2 linked regions of the Macaca fascicularis genome follow. The protein of the gene in region 2 binds, or shares a complex with, the protein of the main gene of each other region. Links are inferred from orthologs where the notes say so. Each region holds a gene or a part of one and is shown on either strand. Other genes may lie near its edges.

The links. The genes of interacting proteins can lie anywhere in the genome.
Region 1: ANP32A (region 2) and nucleoside diphosphate kinase A share a complex: the UniProt entries of both Homo sapiens proteins name them as parts of the SET complex. The link is inferred for Macaca fascicularis from reciprocal best matches to the Homo sapiens genes ANP32A and NME1.

Annotation. Positions count from the first base shown.
Region 1 is NC_088390.1:55,553,380-55,557,517, forward strand, and holds the start of nucleoside diphosphate kinase A, read right to left. Parts: upstream 2,801-4,138; 5' UTR 2,747-2,800; exon of another isoform or gene 2,685-2,746; intron 782-2,684; 5' UTR 778-781; coding exon 652-777; intron 1-651. UniProt on the Homo sapiens protein: Major role in the synthesis of nucleoside triphosphates other than ATP. The ATP gamma phosphate is transferred to the NDP beta phosphate via a ping-pong mechanism, using a phosphorylated active-site intermediate.
Region 2 is NC_088381.1:45,550,564-45,554,063, forward strand, and holds part of ANP32A (acidic leucine-rich nuclear phosphoprotein 32 family member A), read right to left. Parts: intron 3,185-3,500; coding exon 2,986-3,184; intron 1,632-2,985; coding exon 1,534-1,631; intron 1-1,533. UniProt on the Homo sapiens protein: Multifunctional protein that is involved in the regulation of many processes including tumor suppression, apoptosis, cell cycle progression or transcription. Promotes apoptosis by favouring the activation of caspase-9/CASP9 and allowing apoptosome formation.

The DNA.
Region 1 (4,138 bases), on a different chromosome or scaffold from region 2:
AGTGCTGGGATTACAGGCATGAGCCACTGTGCCTCGCCCAGCCAAGAATTTGAATTTTTATCTCTAGAATGTGTTTAAAGAGGGGTTACTGGTCAATCAATCCCTTGCATTTATCAGAAGATTGCTTTGTAAGTAGCTTGCAGGTACATCTGCTCTCTGCTATTTCAGGAGAACCTTCCCAAAACCAAAACCATAGTTTTCCTCCACAAGCTCCTATGGTACCTAATAAATGCTAGACAATAAGCATTGATGGGTGTCTAGTAATTGCTGATGGAAGATTTTCTTGCTAAAAACACAACCTGTCTCAAAGGGGGAAAAAAATCTCTCTAAAATTATCTGCTCAGGAAGCTCAAGACCAAGAACTCAAACATGCTCAGCTGAGTCACAAATTACAGAGATGCAGTCATATGTGGAACTCTGCACTGCTTTTCCCATAGCAATGCACCTCATATTACAGAGACTATTTTGGAAAATCCTAAACGTAGCCAAACGCTAGGGCACTGAGGTGTTTCCAGGTCTCTAGATACTTGTGTCCACTCTGTCCCTCTACCATGAAGAAGTTTAAATAAGAAAGCCGGGGAGAAACAGGTTAATCACAGTGTTCTCCCATACTATGAAGAAATCAAAATGGGAACAATGAAGTCCACTTACTTGCATGAATTTCAGACCAACAAGGCGGAATCCTTTCTGCTCAAAACGCTTGATAATCTCTCCGACAAGACCCCGCTGGACCCCATCTGGTTTGATGGCAATGAAGGTCCGCTCACAGTTGGCCATGGTCCTGGGGATAGGCAGGTAGAGGAATGAAACGGCGCTGAATCACTTGCCTACATCGTCATCCTCCTCAAGCGGATTATCCCATAAAGCTGGTTCAAATCTGTCAGGTCAGCTGCAGGTCTCCCTCTGCTAAAAACCCAGTTCCTCCCCAGTCCCCTCATCTATGAACAAATATGTCAATGTGGGAAAGGATCCAAAAGCAAGGACTATAATTTCTATCCCATTTGATTTATTTTATTTTTGTTTTGGTTTTTGTGGTTTTTTTAGAGATGGGGTTTCGCCATGTTGCCCAGGCTGGTCTCAAACTCCTGTCCTCAACTGATCCACCCACCTCAGCCTACCAAAGTGCTGGGATTATGGCCATAAGCCACCGCGCCCAGCCCCTTTTTTTTTTTTTTGGTATGGGGTCTTGCTCTGTCGCCCAGGATGGAATGCAGTGGCGCGACCTCGGCTCACTGCAACCTCCACTTCCCAGGCAAGCTATTCTCCTACCTCAACCTCCTGAATAGCTGGGACTACAGGCGCGTGCCACCACGCCCAGCTAATTTTTGTATTTTTTTTTTTTTAGTAGAGATGGGGTTTCACTATGTTGGCCAGGCTGGTCTCCAACTCCTGACCTCAAGTAATCCACCGGCCTCAGCCCCCCAAAGTGCTGGGACTACAGGCATGAGCCCCGTGCCTGGCCACCATTTGATGTAATAAGCTTCTTTTAAGCATCTACTGTGTACCAAACACTGTGGTGGAACTAGGATACAGGAGGTAAAAACTATCTTTCTCAGTAATCAAGCTTGGGAGAAACTACACTGATACAAAGTTTTACTAATGTGAAAGTGATGTCTGGCACAAAGCAGTAAGAAATAATAGTTTGACTTAATGTCACATCCATAGCATTAGGGGTTTTAGAGAATATATCTTTACAACCCCCTTCGTTTTACAAATGAGGAAACAGGACCAGAGCACCAGAATGAAGGCCAAAACCCAGCATTCCCAACCCATTAATCCATTCTTGTAATGTATGCTACACTTTACAATGCAAAGAATATTTTGACTAGCCAATAAACGGTGGGGTGTGGGAGAGCTACAGACATTAGGAATACCTGATACGGGACATCATACTGAAAGGAAGCCTAGAGAGTACCTATTCTGTCCAGATCCCTCATTTTACAGAATACTGGCTCATGATGTACCCTGTATCACATCTTGAGATGGGAAGCCCCTCGCCTTGAAAGACAATCTCTGATGTACACAGCAGCTCCACCTATTGGCCCCACCTTCCTGTCCTTTAGTTAACCTCTTCTTACAGCATCTTAGCACCGTAGCCCAACTTTCTGTTTGTGTGTCTGCCTCCCCACCGGTCTCTGGCCTGCATACCAGGCTGATTTACTCCTGTGTAGGTCTATGGTACCTAGCCACAGGGCCTAGCAGTCAATAAGAGCAAAGAAAATCATTTATCATCACTCTGCAACTTCCAAAAAAAAAAGAGACAAAGCCCAAAGACTGCGGAGAATCGCCCGATGGGGTGCGGGGCAAGAATATTGTCCAGGAGAAAACAGGACTAAAGTGCCAGAAATAGATCCTAAAAATGTCCCTCCACATCGATCCCGGTGACACAACAGTAAGCACTCAGTCCTTGCTGAATGAATGACACACACGCCCGTCATTTATTCAGCAAGGCCTTATAGAACGCCAACTCCGTTCCCGGCACTGCTCTCGACAGAGGCAAATAAGGCACAGCCCTGTCGTCGCGGCCTGACGAGAAAGGCGGCCACCGACAAAGGAGAGTCCATGTGGCATGGGATGTGCGCCGACCGGTCTGCACTTGTCCACAGGCGCTCCCTGCCCCTCCTCCCATCCGATCCTCCTCGCCGCCTCTTAGAGCTGAACTGACCTCTTCACTAACTCCTCACCTAACTCTCTCCGGCGACTACACTCCTTTCCTTTCCCTCTCAGGATCCCGAACACCTCTTACCCTTCCAGCTGGTTAGTCTTGAACTCCGGCTGCAGCCGCCGGAACCCGAAACGCGCCGGGGACCCACGTGGTTCGCAGCACTCGCACGCACGGAACGCTTCCGCGCAGATCCGCTGCCGGAGAGCCCATTTTGCAGAACACCGCTCGCCCACGCTTCCTCTTGGGAGTAGGCAGTCATTCTAGGGAACAACTTTCTGCTGTTTAACTTCCGGCGCCAGCTTTTTCAGACCTTTCCGGTTAGCTGCTTGCTTTCTTCCCTCCACCCCCGGGTTCTCTGACTCACTTCCTTTGTTCGCGAGCAAATTGGCTTCCCGAGAGGTGGCGCTCACACTTTGCATGACGTCCAAAAAGCGCCTGACCTAGAAGTAAACTTTTCGCTCCCGCTTTGTGTTTATTCACCTTTTCTAACCTGTCAAGCAAAAGATTTTATTGAATACCTACTATGTGGACGCATTATTCTAGGCCCTAGGGATACAACAGTATGCTTTCTTGGAGCTTCTGGGAGGGACAGGAGTATAGGAAAACAAGAAACAGATAAGCAAATTAATATGTAATAGATCTCATTATGTAAGTGCTGTGAAGAAAAGGCCAGAGAAATCTCTGAGGAAGTGATAATAGAATGGACCTGCATGAAGTGAGCGAGCCAGCCCAGTGATTCCCTGAGAGCCAAGTATTACAGTGGATATCGAGTGGTAGAAAATGCCGTTAGAATAGAGCCAAATCTTACGCTGTGAGATGCCAATACGGATTTTGCACAAGGCATCACATCATCACTGACATACTTTTTCAAAAAAACATTCCCACTGCTCTCAGGGGAGAGGTACAAAAATGGAATCAGGAGCCTTTTCAACAAATGATGCTGGGTAAATTGGACAAATATAGACCCAAAGAACCTCAACCTAAACCTCACACCTTATACAAAATTCACTCAAAATGAACCATAGATTTAAACATAAAACAATAAATCACTGATGGGGAAAAAAAAAGAGTTAAAAAAAATTCTCAGGACCTAGGGCCAGGCAAATAGTTTTTAGACGACACCAAAAGACCAATCTATAAAAGGAAAAAGTTGATAAATTGGAACGTACTGAAATTTAAAACTTTTTTGGCCTAGCACGGTGGCTCACGCCCGTAATCCCAGCACATTGGGAAGCGGCGGCGGGAGGATCACTTGAGCTCAGGAATTCGAGACCAGCCTGGGCAACATGGTGAAACCTCGTCTCTACTAAAAACACAAAAATTAGCAGGGCGTGGTTGCAGGCGCCTGTAGTCCCAGCTACTCGGGAGGCTGAGGCAGGAGAATCGCTTGAACCCGGGAGGCAGAGGTTGCAGTGAGTCGAGATTGCGCCAGGGCACTCCAGCCTGGGTGACAGAGCGAGACTCGGTCTCTAA
Region 2 (3,500 bases):
AGGAAGGGGAAGACGAAACAGCTATTAGCCAATACAACTTACTGCCCTGTTGTAGGGAAACCTGTTTTACTAAGACTTTATTTTTAAAATACAATATTCTTTAGAGATGAGCCTAAGAGTCTAGACCTAGGGAGAAGACAAAGTCAGCAGCACAACTAAACAGAAACCAAGCTCATCTCGCCAGCTTTTTTTTTTGGACTGAGTCTCGTTCTATTGCCCAGGCTGGAGTGCAGTGGTGCCATCTTGGCTCACTGCAACCTCTGCCTCCCAGGTTCAAGTGATTCTCGTGCCCCAGCCTCCTGCGTAGCTGGAATTGCAGGTGTCCGTCAACATGCCTGGCTAATTTTTATATTTTTAGTAGAGAAGGAGTCTCGCCATGTTGCCTAGACTGGCCTCGAACTCCTGACCTCAAGCGATCTGCTCACCTCGGCCTCCCAAAGTGTTAGGATTATAGGCATAAGCCACCGCGCCTGGCCTCCGCTTTTCTATTGTCATTGGCCTGTGTCTCTCAAGCCTGGGCCGGCTGGCTGAAACTGGAAGACACTATCTGAGTGAGTCCGTGTGGCAAGCGGATGTGTCTGCATCCTCCATTGAGGGAGACAGGAAACTGCGGGGGGAGTTGGGAGGGGACACAGGTACCTTGTCCATGCTATTGTCACTTTAAAACTCTCTAGGTCTAACTTCTGCAATTAGCAAGAGTTGATTTAGAATTCTGAGCAAGTTATAGAAAATGACTCTGCTACAGAGAGACTCAGAACACACAAACACAAAACCCAACACAGTGCCAGGAACCTGGAGGAGGGTGTGAACGCCTACAATAAGCAGTCAGACACTTACCCCTTGTCAGACATTGTCCTTAAGCATTTTACTTACACTTCACTTTATCCTCTTAACAACCCTGTGAGAAAGCTATCATGATCCCTGTTTTACAGATGAAGAAATAGGCTCAGAAAGGTCAGGTAAATTGTCCGGGGACACACAGCTAGTAAGTGGTAGATCTAGGACTCACCCCCTCACAGATCTTGTTAAAAAACTGGGAACCAGCCAATCTGTTTAGGAAAATGGCCAACTCCTGACGCTCTATTTCCATAGTGTCACTCTCTGATTTGGGATCCAGCAGTGTTATCCTGCTACCTATCAGTTCAAGGCAGTCTTTGGTTTTCCCCAGCACAGTTTAAGTGCTCAATGAATATCTTAATTAGCATATGAAAGCAAAAAGCAGAAAATGGGGTCATGCATTCTGTACTTCTTCACACAGAAACAATGGCCAGGCTTACCCCAGCAGGTTCAGTCCCTGCCTCTAAAATCCTCTTCCCCTCTTCTAATCCAGCCTCCCCAGAGCTTGCTGCAAGTCTTGTCTCCCCAGAAACAGTCCAGTGAAAGGCTCTGAAATGGACTCACTTCACTACCCACGGGGGAGCGACTTTCCTAACCAGGGCTCCAGGGTTGCCAAGACTGATCACAGAGGCAGTCAGTGGGACTGCCTCAAAGGGGCAGACGGTGGCCCTGCCCAGCCCAGCCCAGCCTCCTTACCTCCTCCTCTCCACTCACGTCCTCCTCTTCACCTTCCTCCTCCTCATCCTCGTCCTCCTCGTCTTCCACTACCTGAGCATCTTCATCATACTCCTCCTCTGTGCAATGGAAATGGGGAATGGAAACAGAACTAGTGGTGAGCTGGCTCCGCCCCCACATAGCACAGGCCCCTGTAGCGTCTTCAGTGTGGGGCTCACGACCCTGCCACACCCACCTAAGCCCAAAGATTGAACACACTAACTCTCATGAAAACAATGCCGACATAATTAAACACATCCTGAAGTTGTGCCAAAGATAAGCCCCCCCTCACAAGTGTTATGAATGTGAAAGACCCCTTCTGGAGGTCTCTCACACTGAGACCACCAGGAAATTGTCAGAGCGGAACAATAAGTTCCAGGGCCCGGGAGAGCGGCAAGGTCAATCCAAACTCCTCACATTAAAGGTGAGAGATCCGAGGCACAGAGAGAACTGACTTGTTCAAGGTCACACATTGAGTCACTGGTTGAGCTGGGCCTAGGGGACCTGGTACTGGGACTGCCAGTTTTGGCTCCTTTCTGCCATATCACAAGATCCCCACCAAGGCAAACACGGTCTCTGAGTATCTTGCAAAACACTCCCAATTGAACAAGGAAAACCAAAATCCTGTATCTGAATCAATCAGGCAAGTGTCTCCATTCTCAACTTTATCTGGCCACGAAGACCCATGGGAAAGCTGCACTGTGCTGGTGGCAAGGGAGAAGGGGATGTAACAGGACGAAGAACCCCATTCTTTTCCCTCTTTCCTTCCTGTAGGCCGCGACTGCACACCACACTGCCAGGGAACCCTACAGGCGGCCTGCAGCCCTCAACTTCCCAGCACTTGTGGCTCCTGAGCACCTGAGCCAGTGCCCCTAAGTGTGGGGCTGTGGGCTGCAACTACCAGGGGGCCCCACAACCCCTCTAGCTCTGGACCTCCTCTCCACTACTGAATACCTAGACAGGAAAGGGGGGTCTACACCCTCTTCTCTCTCTATCCCCTCCCTCCCTCCCTGAGAGAGTGTCTAAGTGCGGGTCACACTATAGGATGACAGTAGAATACCACTCCCTGAAGGGCTTTGGAAAGGGACAAAAATTGAAGTGGGGATTCAGCTGGATGATTTTAAAGGAGTTATTACGCAGTTGGAGAATCTCAGGATATTTCCATGAGCATGGGACTCATACTTTGTTCTTTTAGGGAAGACAACCAATGAGACAGGTTAGGGACTATGGAAAATAAAGCAGACAGCCCCACTCCCCTCCCTAGCTTTGGAAGGAGGTAGCTGCCAGCTAGCCAGCCAGCCAGCCAGCCAGCCAGCCTTCAGTAGCTGGGTGGGGGCCTCCCAACACCCAGCCCACCCACCTCTGCAAAGCCAAGGAGGAGCCCCAAGGCCTCAGCTGGGCCCCTGCAGCCCTGGGCCACCCCCTGTCACCCACCATCCTCATCCTCCTCCTCGTCATCCAGGCCCTCCACGTAGCCCTCAGCATCCGAGTCAGGGGCCTCCTTGTCGTCTCGGTCGTAGCCGTCGAGATATGTGAGCTGCGGGAGGAGCTTGAACACATTTTCTCGGTAGTCGTTCAGGTTGGTTACCTCGCAATTGAAAAGGTCTAAGCTCTTGAGGTTTTCTAACTTTTTCTGCAAGTGGAAAAATGAAACCAACAGTAAGTGATTTGTGGGAGGAAGGCGGGGGAACAGCCCTAGCAAAAAGGCAAGGATGCCATGAGATACAGTGGACAGACCACGACTTCCAGGTGATAAGGAAGCTTGGATTTGGCTCTGCTTAGCCACAGTGTTTGCCCAGACTTATCACCTGCAATTTGTGGGCCTCAGTGTCTCCATCTGGAAAATACGGGGTTGGACTGGAGGATCTTTGAAGCCTTATCTAATGTTAACACTTTTATTTTGCAATTATAGCTTCTCTTAACAGTGATTGACTTGAAATTAGCCTGGG